Linked DNA regions of Saccharomyces cerevisiae S288C. The protein of the gene in region 1 interacts with the protein of each later gene in a pairwise test. Each region holds a gene or a part of one and is shown on either strand. Other genes may lie near its edges.

Region 1 (3,303 bases):
ATTCAGAAACCGCTCTTTTTATATATACTCTACCAAACGAGATGAAACAGCATTTTTTTACTCTTATAAGGTACCAATATTTTGACGTATGCTTTCTTTAACGTTCACGATCGGGCTGGGCCATTAAACTTACCTTAGATATTATTTGGAACAGCACCGCAAGTGCTGATGTCCCAGAAATGGGCGCCGGTTCAATTAGGTCGTGAAGTCAGACATATGGAGACTCTCGGACTGAAAGCACTAAGGGATGATAGCTGGCATGCCAATTCCATTTTAAATTTACACATCAAGTTACAGGGTTTGGGAAAATCACGTTCAAAGCCTGAAAATTTGAGGTTGTTCACGGAAATCATTTGGTTATGTCTGTCGGCCTGCTATTTAGAGACATTTTTTATTGCAACAACCTACTCTATGCACTTACACGGAATCGCAGAATAACGCGCGCACAACACAATTGGGAAACGATAGGATTTTGAATAGTGTATTGCTTTGTACCGATTTAAATAATTCTTTCTCGTGTTGAATCCGAGTTGAAGATGAGTATGCTTTGAAGAGGTGAAATATCATCAGTAAAAAAAAATAACGACAACTGCAGGACTCGAACCTGCGCGGGCAAAGCCCAAAAGATTTCTAATCTTTCGCCTTAACCACTCGGCCAAGTTGCCAAAATTGTATGTTATTTGTTGTATCTCAAAATGAGATATGTCAGTATGACAATACGTCACCCTGAACGTTCATAAAACACATATGAAACAACCTTATAACAAAACGAACAACATGAGACAAAACCCGACCTTCCCTAGCTGAACTACCCAAAGTATAAATGCCTGAACAATTAGTTTAGATCCGAGATTCCGCGCTTCCACCACTTAGTATGATTCATATTTTATATAATATATAAGATAAGTAACATTCCGTGAATTAATCTGATAAACTGTTTTGACAACTGGTTACTTCCCTAAGACTGTTTATATTAGGATTGTCAAGACACTCCGGTATTACTCGAGCCCGTAATACAACATTATTTTCAGTGATAAAATATGTAAACCAATTATAAGAAAAAGGATTGCGTTGCATCACAACTGTAAACCATTAATTAAAAAGAGCAATTGCTATTTAGATTTGTTGCTGAGAATTGGCTAAAAAATCTGATAATTGTAGGACTTCTATTATTGCTAGGGGCAATGTGTTGGAATGCAATTCTGTTGGAATAAAAATCCACTATCGTCTATCAACTAATAGTTATATTATCAATATATTATCATATACGGTGTAGAGATGATGGCATAAGGTATGAAAAGCTGTCATCGAAGTTAGAGGAAGCTGAAGTGTAAGGATTGATAATGCAATAGGATAATGAAACATATAAAACGGAATGAGGAATAATCGTAAGATTGGTATATAGAAATATAGACTCCATTATGGGGATTCCTAGACCCTCGAGGAGAACCTTCAAGTATATTCTGTATACCTAATATTATAGCCTTTATCAACAATGGAATCCCAACAATTATCTCAAAATTCCCCCAATTCTCAACATCCGACTGCCATGCAATGTGCTTTTCTGGATCTCACTCATGATCATAATGGCCCTGTAAAAGGCTCGCACTATTATTATTATATCTTCACTATATATTATTTCGGAGGCTGTACCTATCAGTGAAAAAACGCCTCTAAAAATGAAAAAAAAAAAGAATATGAAAGGGGTTCTGAATTGCTAAAATATTTCGTCAAAGCTCAATTAGTATCATGATCAAGTCGTAATTCGAATCAGCATAACAACCTCCAAAACCATATAATAACCTTACACAAGACAAGATATCAATTCAACATGCAAACCCCTTCAGAAAATACCGACGTCAAGTTGGATACTCTCGACGAACCCAGTGCACATTTAATCGAGGAAAATGTGGCTCTTCCAGAGGATACATTCAATTCGTACTGGAGTTATATACTTAATGAAATCGCTCGTTGTAAACCGCTAATGATTATGTTCCTAATACCTGTGTGTTTGGTTTTATTGATTACGTTTTTTCATGATATCAAAGGTATCCTTGTGTTTTTAGTGATTTCTCTTATCCTCTCTATTATCATTTTATTGATCGGTATAACTGCCTTCGTGTCTGAGACCTTGAATAAGGGTTTCATAATTAAGCTTTTAGTAGAAGTCATTACACGTAAACCAGCAGTAGGGGGGAAGGAATGGAGAATAATCGCATATAATATGAACCAGTATCTGTTTGACCATGGGATATGGCATACTCCGTATTACTTTTTTTGTGAACATAGGTGCCATAAATTTTTCAAAAGCCTTATCAAACAGACAAGGTCGAATGCACATTTGAGTTCACCAACGAACGGTGCAGAGAATACGCAGTCAAACACACCAGCAAAAGAGGTTTCAAATGAGATGGTAAAACCTTATATCTTTAGTTCTGATCCAGTTTTAGAAGCTTACCTTATTAAAGCTGCGGAAATTCACAAAGAAGCTGAATTTGAGTATTGGAGAAAGCAATACCCAGAGGTTGATTTGCCTTAGGGCCGAATTTTTGGTATTTATCTAGTATATTCTAATATAAAATGTACGAGCATCATTAACTTCAAGAACATTACGAAGCCCGCAATTAAGTGTCAGTCCATCTGGGTGTAAAAGTTATGTACGCTCGAAACAAATTTTATGTAGTTTACTTTAGATGCAAATGCTATTATATATTTTGCTTTATGATCCTCGGCTTGATGCTCGCCAACGTGAGATAGCTGGTCATCACAATAGATCAGCCGGGACGCTTTTCGATCACATCGAATCCCTTCGGGACGTTGCAACAATACGTGAAAAATGCCTCAAAAATAATAAATACAATGGTGAACAACGTTAAAAAAGCATAAAACAGCTGGCTATTTTGATCAGGATAACATCTATAAGTGCCATATTAAGGCAAGATATCAATTGACCATGCAAACACCTTCAGAAAATACCGACGTAAAGATGGATACTCTCGACGAACCCAGTGCACATTTAATCGAAGAGAATGTAGCTCTTCCCGAAGACACATTCAGTTCACATCTGAGTTATGTACTTTATGAAATTGCTCATTGTAAACCGATCATGTTTATGATCATCATAATCGTGAGTTTGATCTCATTGATTGTGCTTTTTCATGATAACGACGGGTGCACTGTGATCTTAGTGATGTCCCTTATAGTAGCCTCCATGGCTTTAATGGTGGTTGCAGCATTCACATTCGGGAAAGCGATCACTGAACAGGAGTTCATGATAAAGCTTTTAGTGGAGGTGATCGCACG
Region 2 (4,476 bases), on another chromosome or scaffold:
TGTTACCATGTTTATTATTATTATGGCTGGTTTTGCTACCAATCTTCTTAGAAGGAGAGGCCTGTAGGATATATTATCAGGTTCCGGGTTGAATTTATCGAATAAGAAGAAATCGTACACCAATGAAAAAATAAAAAGTAAGACACCCAAAACCAAATATGCGATGACTTGGCCAGAGTTCCAACTATATTTATTACCACCAAAGGTTAGCCCCAGTAGGAAAAGGACCAGCCCTGCAGAGCAGAGGGCAAAACCAAAGAAGTCAAACTTGAAGATTATGCCATTCATAAGTCTTTTAAAATTAACTTGGTGTCTGAACTTACTAAAAGTAAAGCTCGAGATTGTTCCTATAGCATCTTTAATTTGTTGAAGTATACCCTTATTCTCGGCCTTATATGTGAGTAAAAACATAATAATGGCAAGACCACCGATAGGAAGATTGATATAGAAGCACCACCTCCAGGTAACATGGGTTGTAAAGGCACCTCCGATTATAGGACCAACGATAGCAGCTACAGCAAATGCACAACTTAGGATGGAAATCACCAATGGACGTGACCTTTCACCAACCATCGTACAACCAATAACAAAGCAAAGCGTTTGAAGTCCGCTTCCCCCAACACTAGCAACAACTCTACCGACAATGAGCATATTCATTGAAGAGGCAAGGGCAGCAATTAGGGATCCGGCTTCAAAAATAAGTATTGCTAAAATGAGACTATGCTGGAAACCTATGATAGATGCGAATCTTCCCCAAATGAGACTCAGAATAGCATTTGGTAAACTGTAGCCTGTAACGAGCCAACCTGTTTTGGAGTAGTTTCCGAACTGTTCTGCGACCACGTCAATAATAGTTCCCACTATCAAAATATCCAGTGCAGTTATGAATAGTACAAGAGTTCACGAAGCCAGGCAGAGGTACAAGGAAAGTCCCATTGGAGAATCATTGCTACCTCTAGCATTCAATGAAGCGTCTGAACCACATGCTTCTTCTATCTCCTGCTGCGAAGAGTACTTAGTTTCCTCCATATTTTTGAATTTCTATCGATTAAGCTCTATACCAGGTATGATCTGGTCTGATCAGTTCTAGGTATAAGCATAACTAGAATACATCTATACATGTGTATATCTATATCTATATATATGTATATATATATATTTAAACCAAAAAAAAAAAAAAATTCGCTTCTCATAAAGGTGTGATGACACTATTATCTTTTGCATATCTTGTCGTCTCGTATCATGTACGCGCTGCATATGAGGTGCGGCGCTATCTGTTAAATATGTACCAATTTGCACCTGCTGCAAAGGAAATGTGGCACTACTTTTACTCGCATGTTAACTTTCACCTACTATATATAGAAAAAAGGGTGTTGTTTTCAATCGCTGACTAATTTGCTCAAATACTCTTTACAAAAAGGAAATTGTGTATCAGTAACCCTTACGGTTTGTTTATGAAGGAACTTTGCTCGTCCTACACCACCGGATCTAGGTACTCAATTTTTTGATGATTTTGCACTTGTGCGCATATCCTGTCGACAGGCACCGCATTTTTTTCCTTGTTTCAACAGACATAAACACAAGCTTCACTCATCAGTTTGAAAAGAGATAGTTTCGACGGTACAGTATTCTTGTCGTACAAAAGTCTTCGGTATAACTGGTTCGTCGTGGATTTTCGGAAACTAAGTTGATTGTACGACGACAGGTCAAAGTTAAAGTTAAAGTCACCAGGTGTATAGACACCACATTGAAGGGGTGTCACAGCAATTTTTTTTTTTTTTTTTTTTGATACTCAATAATTACGAGCATATAATTTTAGTACTTCCAAAAAAAAAGTTAAACAAAAAATAGTGACGAAAGGTGTCAGTAAAAGTATATATGAGAACATGGAATGTATTAAAGTAATTCCATTTCTAGCAGATGTAGCGACCGTAGAATCTTAAATACTATTTACATAAATAAGAAAAGTAAAATAGTTTTATGGACTGGAAAGAGAAAAAAAAAAAAAAGGAATAATCAAGTAAATAAATTATCGGATGAGTTCTAGTGTTGTTGGTGCCTCAAGTAATAAAAAAAGTGGAATTAGGCAGTCCTGTGAGATTATTGAGCGAGAACGTCACTCAAACGATGACACGTACTCTATGACATCGACCTTTTTTAAGCTCAAAGAAAACGAAATTATGTCTGCACAGTTTGATTCCTTGAAATATAAAATTCTACTGATAAGTACCGCGTTTGTATGTGGGTTTGGAATTAGTTTAGACTACACACTTAGATCGACCTATACGGGCTATGCGACGAACTCATATTCAGAACACTCCTTACTTTCAACTGTCCAAGTTATCAATGCTGTTGTAAGTGTCGGATCCCAAGTTGTCTACTCCAGACTCTCTGACCACTTCGGAAGACTAAGGCTTTTTTTAGTTGCAACTATTTTTTATATAATGGGAACCATCATTCAATCACAGGCGACCCGTCTCACAATGTATGCAGCAGGATCGGTTTTCTATAACTGTGGATACGTCGGAACAAATCTGCTCCTGACATTAATACTTTCTGATTTCTCCTCCTTGAAGTGGAGAATGTTTTACCAGTACGCCTCATATTGGCCATATATCATAATACCATGGATTTCAGGTAATATTATCACAGCAGCAAATCCTCAGAAAAACTGGTCCTGGAATATTGCAATGTGGGCTTTTATTTACCCACTCTCTGCCTTGCCAATTATATTTCTTATTCTTTATATGAAGTACAAATCTTCAAAGACTGCTGAGTGGAGATCTCTCAAAGAACAGGCTAGAAAGGAAAGAACGGGCGGATTATTTGAGAATTTGGTGTTTCTATTCTGGAAACTCGATATTGTTGGCATATTATTAATAACTGTGTCGCTAGGGTGTATCCTTGTCCCTTTGACGTTGGCTAATGAGACATCACAGAAGTGGCACAATTCAAAAATAATTGCCACTTTAGTTTCAGGTGGCTGTTTATTTTTCATTTTTTTATATTGGGAGGCCAAATTTGCCAAATCTCCTCTTCTACCGTTCAAATTACTAAGTGATCGTGGAATTTGGGCACCCCTTGGTGTTACTTTTTTCAATTTTTTCACCTTTTTCATTTCGTGTGACTATCTGTATCCTGTTTTGCTGGTATCGATGAAAGAATCGTCCACTTCGGCTGCTCGGATAGTAAACCTTCCTGACTTTGTTGCTGCTACTGCATCTCCATTCTACAGTTTGTTGGTGGCAAAGACAAGGAAACTGAAACTTTCTGTAATCGGAGGTTGTGCTGCATGGATGGTGTGCATGGGCCTTTTTTACAAATACAGAGGAGGATCTGGGTCTCATGAAGGTGTTATCGCTGCATCTGTTATCATGGGTTTGAGTGGTCTCCTATGCAGCAATTCAGTGATCGTCATACTGCAAGCCATGACTACGCATAGTAGGATGGCTGTAATAACCGGCATCCAGTATACCTTTTCAAAGCTAGGCGCTGCTATCGGTGCCTCCGTTTCTGGTGCCATATGGACACAAACCATGCCTAACCAACTCTACAAGAACCTTGGAAACGATACATTGGCAGAAATAGCATATGCATCACCTTATACATTCATTAGTGATTATCCTTGGGGCTCACCCGAAAGAGATGCTGTGGTTGAATCTTACAGATATGTTCAACGAATAATAATGACGGTTGGCTTGGCATGTACGGTACCGTTCTTTGCGTTTACAATGTTCATGAGAGACCCGGAACTAATAGACAAGGCGACACACGAAGAATTCACTGAAGATGGTTTGGTTGTCTTGCCAGATGAGGAAAATATTTTCTCTCAAATCAAGGCACTTTTTAGACATAATCGAAGTAACAAGAAATTAGGATGTTGATCCCCAAGCTGGTGAAAAAAGGGCAAAAAAAAATGAAAGCAAAATCACAAAAAAGGCAAAAACAAGTGATTTCTACACTTTTATTACTTCCGATAAAAATGACATAACAGGATAGGATAAACATGCTCGATAGACCCACATCTGAACTTGCGACGCATATAGCTGTGTCGTACTTTTTATTTTCACAAGCGTCGGTAAAGACTCAGCGTCGGTAAAGACTCAGCGTCGGTAAAGACTCAGCGTCGGTAAAGACTCAGCGTCAGTAAAAGAGTCAGCGTCATTGATATTGAAAGTGCGGGAGGAGTTACTATCCAATAAATGATGCTGGAAATGCGCTCTGTATGAATGCATTAATTATGTTGTACCGAAAAAGAAAGAAAGAAAGAAAAAAAAGGAGAATCATGTAACTTCTAGTAAGGGCGTCATGTCATAGCACTTTTCTAAGTGTATGCCATTGTAAATCATTCTAGGCGAAAAAAAGTGATATGTCTCCTGGTATTTTGTATTGTTGTCGTTACAAGTTGATGTGTTCCGTAGTGTGAGTGCAACATGCGATTTTGGTACCGCAAAAAAGGTACAGATCACATGGGCA
Region 3 (4,068 bases), on another chromosome or scaffold:
ATGAATTTCTCTACTTTTTTTTCGAGCAGTAATTACCATTTTAGGTTTGATTACAATCACAGCTTCAGCAGAATTTGATTTCGACGTAGGCTATGAAGAGTTTGTCCGTATCAACCCTGATAAGACCTTCTTAGAAAGTGAGATTGGCCTTTACGTTGGTTGGACCGAGGGTAGTCAACGGCAGATAACAACGATACCACATAATTCCACGTTGGCGGCATCACTACAAGAGTAGAATGGTTGTGGTGGTAATGGCACAGAAACCTCCATCGCTACGTCCACACTTACGATGAGTGGTATACCTATCGCTACGATAATGAAGCACAGAAAAAGTGTACTTATCATATTACCGCAACTATGTACGTGAGGTGTAAATTATGGCTCTCATAGGACATAAGTAGGACAGAAATTGAAATTTTTGTGTTGGCAGAGCGAAAGAAACTTGAATTCGTTTATGAGGAATAAATTCTCAGCTCCATCCATGGTTCCAGTTGACGCTATGATACGCAAATTCCTTTGTGATACAGGTATCATTTCTGCAATTCCTCGTAGATTGTTGATCATACCATAAGATTGATGCTGGGGAAAGTGGAGAAGCTAACTTAACGATTGAGGCCTTGGCAAACCCTGTTAAACCAGTACTATCGGCCTTAACATGCGACTTAGAGAGAGAGAGAGAGAGAGATGTTTGCGTTTGCGTCATGATAGAGATGCTACATCCACATAGTTGTTGTAGACATGTTTAAAGGTACAATTCTGCAACAACGCCTTGAAATTTTCCAAAACTAACCAAGCACATTGGAGTTACGCTTATATAGTAAGCCACTTCACTTGCGTTGCTGTAAAGGTTGATAACTACAGGTAGGAATTAATGAATGTTAAATAAAAAAGGGAAATACCATCATCTCGACAAGAAAGGCAAAATAACTTTTCAATCTCACCAAGACGCGCGAACGAAACTCGTGCGTCTATATTAGTATCTTGACGGCGCTTTTACATCATTAAAGGTGTAATAAAACTGAAGTCATGCGATGGCACTGAAATAATCAAAGTAACTATTTGTGATGGCATGCACTGTGATATGATCTCAAGGAAAAAAATGCAATGTCGGGCGCCAATACTTATGATCATGCTTAGTCTCGACATTGACCTTGCTTGCTACAGTAATCTGGTGTCCGAGTAGTGACATCTAGGTACCGGTGAGAACTATATCTTCATTACTACACTTGTCGCCCCTGAATATTATCGCTACACACGCGAAAGAGCTCTTGTTAAAGTTACTCTCGCATCATTGCGGTACATGTTTTGCATATTCATCTGAAGTAGGAAAGGGTATAAGCAGTATATGATGTACCATCTGCATAAGCGGTGTTTAATGCGTACCTATCGTTTAAGAACAAAAGGAACACACCCACACCCGCTCCAATACCATATTGAGAGAATAATGAGGTAACATATGCTTCTATTTGGTTCGATAAGACGGCTACTAGTCCAAAAAAAGTCAAACAACAATTTCAACAGCTACATTCTGAAGATAGAACGCATTTTTGCCTGAATATTGCAACTCAATAGACATTCTAAAGTGCTACGAGAAAAAAGCTTGTAATGGACCATGGCAATGTGCGCCATATATATATGCGGCTCCCTTATGAGTAGAAGAAAATATATGACTGGTGGTACAAAGTGGCATGGTGGTATATAGATGTAGGAACACCATTTGAGTTTGCCATAATGATTAAATTTCCCTTTTTATAAAGAATTAGCCGCCCATAACACGAAAAATATCACAGTTGACGAAAGAAGACACGTCGCCTAAACGCGTAATGAATCGCAATATACGAAAAGCTAAACGGGTTTTTCAGAATCCTCTTACCCAGCCTTGGATAATAGTTTTGGCCGAAAAAAAAAAAAAGAAAGAAAAAAATTGAAATTTCGCGATCCGAACAAACAATGAACAGAAAAACAGAATATATATAACGCTGCCAAGCCTATTTCTTGTTGCCGATTAATTGTTGACATCCTCTTAATTACCAAAAGAGCCTAAGAAAACAAACACACTAACCACACAGTATCTTTCGCCCGAATGTCTGAATTGAAAACAGGTCATGCAGGCCATAACCCTTGGGCTTCAGTTGCCAATTCCGGTCCGATCTCTATTTTATCCTACTGTGGTTCCTCTATTTTAATGACGGTGACTAACAAGTTCGTCGTCAATTTGAAGGATTTCAACATGAACTTTGTCATGCTTTTCGTGCAATCTTTGGTTTGTACTATAACCTTGATTATCCTACGTATACTGGGCTATGCGAAGTTCCGTTCATTAAACAAAACAGACGCCAAGAACTGGTTCCCTATTTCCTTTTTACTGGTCTTGATGATCTACACCTCTTCGAAGGCTTTACAATACTTGGCTGTTCCAATTTACACCATTTTCAAGAATTTGACTATTATCTTGATTGCTTATGGTGAGGTTCTCTTTTTTGGTGGCTCTGTCACCTCCATGGAATTGTCATCATTTTTGTTGATGGTCCTTTCTTCTGTCGTTGCAACTTGGGGTGACCAGCAAGCTGTGGCTGCCAAGGCTGCTTCATTGGCTGAAGGAGCAGCCGGTGCTGTTGCCTCCTTTAACCCAGGTTATTTCTGGATGTTCACCAACTGTATCACTTCTGCATTATTCGTTCTTATAATGAGAAAGAGAATTAAGTTAACTAACTTCAAGGATTTCGACACTATGTTTTACAACAATGTTTTGGCTCTACCTATTCTATTGCTGTTTTCTTTCTGTGTGGAAGATTGGTCTTCAGTTAATTTGACCAATAACTTTTCTAACGATTCGCTAACTGCTATGATCATCAGTGGTGTTGCATCCGTCGGTATTTCTTACTGTTCCGGTTGGTGTGTTCGTGTTACTTCGTCTACTACATATTCGATGGTAGGGGCTTTGAACAAGCTGCCAATTGCCTTGTCTGGTTTGATTTTCTTTGATGCTCCAAGAAACTTCTTATCTATTCTCTCCATTTTTATTGGTTTCCTATCAGGTATTATTTATGCTGTTGCCAAACAAAAGAAGCAACAAGCCCAACCTTTACGTAAATGAGAACTTACGGGGGGTGCAATTTATTTTTTTTTTTTGGTTTATTTTATTTTATAGAGGCATCTAATGCAAGTAGATTTATATACAATTATACTTAAAATTGATATACCTTAGAACAGGTCGGACACAACGTGTGGTAACTCCAATATATCACTAATGACAATAGCGCCTTCTGGTGTTTGCCCCAAAATTTCATTTACTTCATTCTCAACTAAATGAATACATGTTTTCATGCCCAATTTGATACCTGTCTCGATGTTTTTCCCACTGTCATCTATAAAATAAGCATTCTCGTATCTTGCCAACCCGCTTTCCTTCATGGCTTTTTCAAATGCTTTAACATGTGGTTTGCAGACCAGCGTATCTGTCCTAGAGTAGTCACAATATGTCAATCCATCAAATAAATCCGCTATACCCAACAATCTCAGGCAACGTATTGCGTGGTTTTTATAAGCGTTGGTGAAAAGCCACAATTTATCAATCTTTCCCGATTGTCTCAATCTCAACAGCATATTCCTTAATGGTATATCAGGTTTCAAGATATCTTGTAGTGGTAAGGAATCATCCACAAGCCGGTTATATTCCAGTGCGTTCACTTTGTGGAACATTACAAGTCCCCTTATGGCAAGTCCATACTCTTTGTAGTAAGAGTTATTCAAAACGTGAGCATCTTCAGGTGATAGTTTCAAGTGTGTTTGAAAGAACCTCAGTATAGATTGTTGCATAAGATCGTGAATTCTCGTGGATGATTTATAGAGACAGTTGTCGATATCAAAAAAGAAAACTTTTAAGTTCGGGTTTTGAGGTGTAGCAGAAATATCTTGATCGATCGGAAATGTCACTTTCGAACCTGGATGAGTCAATGATTCAAGATGTGCTTTATTCTTGGCAATTTGTTCGTTCACCTCATTCTGATAGGTTGCCAAATCGGATGCAGTATATTCAACAGTCATGAAGCCTAGTAATGATTCGGT
Region 4 (4,466 bases), on another chromosome or scaffold:
AGTTCGTGTCTTGATGCACTTGTATACAACCTCTTGGTTTCATCAGTAGCATGTTGCATTTCACCAACTGTCATAATTTCTCTGCCATCCTTCACTCTGTTTCTGATGAACTTGTTCATTTCTTGATGAAACTCATGGATACGTGGTCCGTTCATTGTGAAAGGATCACTGGGTTGCCACTTTGAGTTTTCGTCAATCACAGGAGCGTCTGGTAGACCAGCAACCTTGGAGTACAAGCTTCCCACATCAATTCTAAAGCCGTCTACACCATGGTCTAACCAGTATCCAACGGCACTTTCGTAGATTGCCTTTCTACAGTCCTCATTCTCCCAATTCAAATCAGGTTGGGTGGAGCAAAACAAACGCAAGTAAAACTCTTGTGTCTTTTCATCGAACGTCCATGCAGAACCACCGAAGTAAGACCTCCAATTGTTTGGAGGAATTGGCTTGCCTTCGGCGTCATAACCCTTAGGAGGTCTCCAGAAGAACCAGTCACGTTTTGGATTGGTTTTTGAGGATCTGCTCTCTTTGAACCATTCATGTTCGCTCGAGCAATGGTTGATGACTAAGTCGGTGATAAATTTCATACCAAGCTTATGTGTCTTTTCGATCAAGGCAAAGCAGTCCTCGTTCGTACCGTAGGTTGGCCAGACCTTTTCGTAGTTGGCAATATCGTAACCCATATCATCTTGTGGCGAGTCGTAGAATGGTGAGATCCAAATGGCATCGGCACCAAGCTCTTTGATATACTCCAACTTGGAGGCAATACCCTTCATATCACCCCACCCATCGTTGTTGGAGTCTTTGAAACTTGCGGGATAAATTTGATAGATTGTGGCCTCTTTCCACCACTTGGGTTCTGTTTCTGGATGTGCAGAAGAAATAGTCATTGTACGTTGCTTTCTTTTCTTTATGAAAAAACTTTCACTTTTGTTTGTGTGTTTGGACTGGTGAATGGAACATATATTCTAGTACAGCTAATTCCTCGAGTGAAGAAGTCTTTCTTACTTATATATGTCTTTTACGTGCCTATGGACGTCTTACGAATGATCGAAAATAAGAAAAGAACAAAGTAAATTTAGGATCTGGAAGGAGTGCTGTATGTAAACGAAGCTTTCAGTTTTAGGTAATGTTTGCACAACCTACATGATATAACATGGTATGTTCTGCAAGAGCGTGCCTGGCCCTTGGCCCGTTATAGCAGATCATACCATCTGCAAGCAGACCCCATTATTGCACTGCCTCCGCAATCTTGCGTATACGTAGTCCCACGACAAAGTACGAAGCGTAAACTGACCTTGTTCAGTTCCCCACAAAAATTACATAACCATTTCTCCGCGGAATTACATAATCATTTCTCCGCGAAAATTACATAATCATTTCTCCGTGCGAGTTATAAGTGCTTTTCTCGTGCATCCCTTGGCACTTCACAAAACCTTCTTTTTCTTTTTTTTCTTTATTTCAGGGGAAATCAGTGCAAAACTAAAAAAGAAAGAAATTTTGTGAAATGTAAACTCCAGGTGTCAAAAAATAAATTATATCCGTGGAAAATCAGGCGTCGGAAATTGTAGATGAAACCGCCTCCTCCACAATAAATGCTGACCACACGAACAATGCATACACTCGGACACCTTCGTTCAAAGTATCAGTAGCAGTTCGACACACCGTATACTACTTAGCTCTTAAGGTCTAGGCTCATCTTTCTCAGTTCCTCTTTTTCGCTAATTAAAGGTATATAATGTCACAGTTGTGTAACTAGAGAAGAGCACACTTGTTCCTATCTTTTTCTTCTTCTTTTTTTGGTATGAGTTGAAAAAAATAATCATTGCACAATTTAGTTCTAAACGCTTTTGTTATTACTCAATATCATGTCAGGTGTTAATAATACATCCGCAAATGAGTTATCTACTACCATGTCTAACTCTAACTCAGCAGTAGGCGCTCCCTCTGTTAAGACTGAACACGGTGACTCTAAAAATTCCCTTAACCTAGATGCCAATGAGCCACCTATTGACTTACCTCAAAAACCCCTCTCTGCGTATACCACCGTCGCAATCCTGTGTTTGATGATTGCATTTGGCGGCTTCATCTTTGGTTGGGATACCGGTACCATTTCTGGTTTTGTTAACCTTTCTGATTTCATCAGAAGGTTCGGTCAAAAAAATGACAAGGGAACCTACTACTTATCGAAAGTAAGAATGGGTTTGATCGTCTCAATATTCAACATTGGCTGCGCCATAGGCGGAATTGTCTTGTCAAAAGTCGGTGATATATATGGTCGTCGTATTGGATTGATTACAGTTACTGCCATTTACGTTGTAGGCATCCTAATCCAAATAACTTCCATAAACAAGTGGTACCAATACTTCATTGGAAGAATTATTTCTGGCCTAGGAGTGGGAGGCATTGCTGTCCTTTCCCCAATGTTGATATCTGAAGTTGCTCCCAAACATATCAGAGGAACTCTGGTCCAATTGTACCAGCTGATGGGTACGATGGGTATTTTTCTAGGATACTGTACCAATTACGGTACCAAGAACTATCACAACGCCACTCAATGGAGAGTCGGCCTTGGTCTTTGCTTTGCCTGGGCTACATTCATGGTTAGTGGAATGATGTTTGTACCAGAATCACCACGTTACCTGATTGAGGTTGGTAAAGATGAGGAAGCGAAACGTTCACTATCGAAATCCAACAAAGTCTCAGTTGACGATCCAGCCTTGCTAGTTGAATATGACACTATAAAGGCAGGAATTGAACTTGAAAAGCTGGCAGGTAACGCATCATGGTCTGAACTACTCTCCACTAAAACAAAGGTCTTTCAGCGTGTTCTCATGGGAGTGATGATCCAATCGCTGCAGCAATTAACCGGTGACAACTACTTCTTTTACTACGGTACCACCATCTTCAAATCTGTCGGTCTAAAGGACTCCTTTCAGACTTCGATCATTATCGGTGTGGTTAATTTTTTCTCTTCATTCATAGCGGTATACACCATTGAGAGGTTTGGACGCCGTACGTGTCTATTGTGGGGTGCTGCTTCTATGCTATGCTGCTTTGCTGTGTTTGCCTCCGTCGGTGTGACAAAGTTGTGGCCTCAAGGAAGCAGTCACCAAGACATTACTTCTCAGGGCGCCGGTAACTGTATGATTGTGTTTACTATGTTCTTCATTTTTTCGTTCGCCACCACTTGGGCAGGCGGCTGTTACGTTATTGTCTCAGAGACGTTTCCTCTTAGGGTCAAATCAAGAGGAATGGCAATCGCAACAGCTGCAAACTGGATGTGGGGTTTCCTGATTAGTTTCTTTACCCCATTCATTACCGGGGCAATCAACTTTTACTACGGTTACGTATTCTTAGGCTGTCTGGTTTTTGCATACTTTTATGTCTTTTTCTTTGTCCCAGAAACAAAAGGCCTGACACTGGAGGAGGTGAATACTATGTGGCTGGAAGGTGTGCCAGCATGGAAATCGGCCTCATGGGTGCCACCGGAGAGAAGAACCGCAGATTACGATGCTGATGCAATAGATCATGACAATAGACCAATTTACAAGAGGTTCTTTTCCAGCTGATCTTCTAGTTTTCGGTAAATTGGTAAAAAAGCAAAAAAAAAAATTGACGAAACTAATTCTCTATTATACATAATGTTTTTACTTTTGTACCCTTTAATTTCTAATGAATGTTTTATGGAAGCTTCAATAAATGCGTGACTGGCTATAGTTGTCGGATGGCAATCCATTATTATGTATACCGTATTATTAAGAGTGCAACTAGGCCCGACTATAAATCTAACACTCAGATCCTTGTACTGTAATGCATATTTATTTTTTCACAAGTTGCATGCTAATAATACCATGATATTTTTTGAAGCCTTGAAAAATAGTTCAAGCAGCTACGATATCATGAATCAATATACTCATTGCAGCCTATGTAATATATATAGGTTCCGTGTTACCACTCGTTTCTGATATTTTCGATATGGCTACACTGGGTTTTTCATGATGGAAATGTGATACTACCAGTTCCAATATATTTATCTTCCTTATCTATATGACACGCTGTTATTTTAGTTCAAGTCAGTGTCCAATTGGGGTGAGTGTCACGTGCACAACGACGGTAGTCGTTGGATGTGCTAAATGATGTTCTACTGCCAATGACTGCAAATACGTTCGAAGAGTATAAAATCGAAGGAAACGAATTAAGTTGCCAATCCTTACTGTAACTATAGCATGTTACATATATGTACCATAAGTATCACATTAAGGTTTCGCCATAGCCATGTGCCTATATTAAATAGAAATATCACATGGCGATCCACGGAATGTTTATAGATTTTCTTCTTTTGTCTATGGCCCGGGCGAGACATTAATTTATCTTGCTGAAAAATTCGAAAGTTAAAACTCAATTATGCGTGGGATTTCTCAATTAGGTTACCAGAATTTCAATCTGCTGAAGAATTATGTCTT

Evidence for each region.
Region 2: the proteins of UIP3 (region 1) and GEX1 interact in a protein complementation assay, tested with the Saccharomyces cerevisiae proteins (one large-scale study listed by BioGRID).
Region 3: the proteins of UIP3 (region 1) and VRG4 interact in a two-hybrid assay, tested with the Saccharomyces cerevisiae proteins (one large-scale study listed by BioGRID).
Region 4: the proteins of UIP3 (region 1) and HXT11 interact in a protein complementation assay, tested with the Saccharomyces cerevisiae proteins (one large-scale study listed by BioGRID).

The regions. Positions count from the first base shown.
Region 1 is NC_001133.9:181,939-185,241, forward strand, and holds UIP3 (DUP240 family protein UIP3), read left to right. Parts: upstream 1-1,831; coding exon 1,832-2,539; downstream 2,540-3,303. Other genes in the region: KTD1 (DUP240 family protein), read left to right, coding at 2,954-3,303.
Region 2 is NC_001135.5:5,887-10,362, reverse strand, and holds GEX1 (glutathione exchanger), read left to right. Parts: upstream 1-2,036; coding exon 2,037-3,884; downstream 3,885-4,476. Other genes in the region: VBA3 (basic amino acid transporter), read right to left, coding at 1-657.
Region 3 is NC_001139.9:74,811-78,878, forward strand, and holds VRG4 (GDP-mannose transporter), read left to right. Parts: upstream 1-2,083; coding exon 2,084-3,097; downstream 3,098-4,068. Other genes in the region: SDT1 (nucleotidase), read right to left, coding at 3,205-4,047. UniProt on the Saccharomyces cerevisiae protein: Involved in the import of GDP-mannose from the cytoplasm into the Golgi lumen. Defective copy causes severe glycosylation defect and abnormal retention of soluble endoplasmic reticulum proteins. Involved in vanadate sensitivity.
Region 4 is NC_001147.6:23,405-27,870, forward strand, and holds HXT11 (hexose transporter HXT11), read left to right. Parts: upstream 1-1,868; coding exon 1,869-3,572; downstream 3,573-4,466. Other genes in the region: oligo-1,6-glucosidase IMA2, read right to left, coding at 1-890; YOL155W-A (uncharacterized protein), read left to right, coding at 3,680-3,814. UniProt on the Saccharomyces cerevisiae protein: Probable glucose transporter.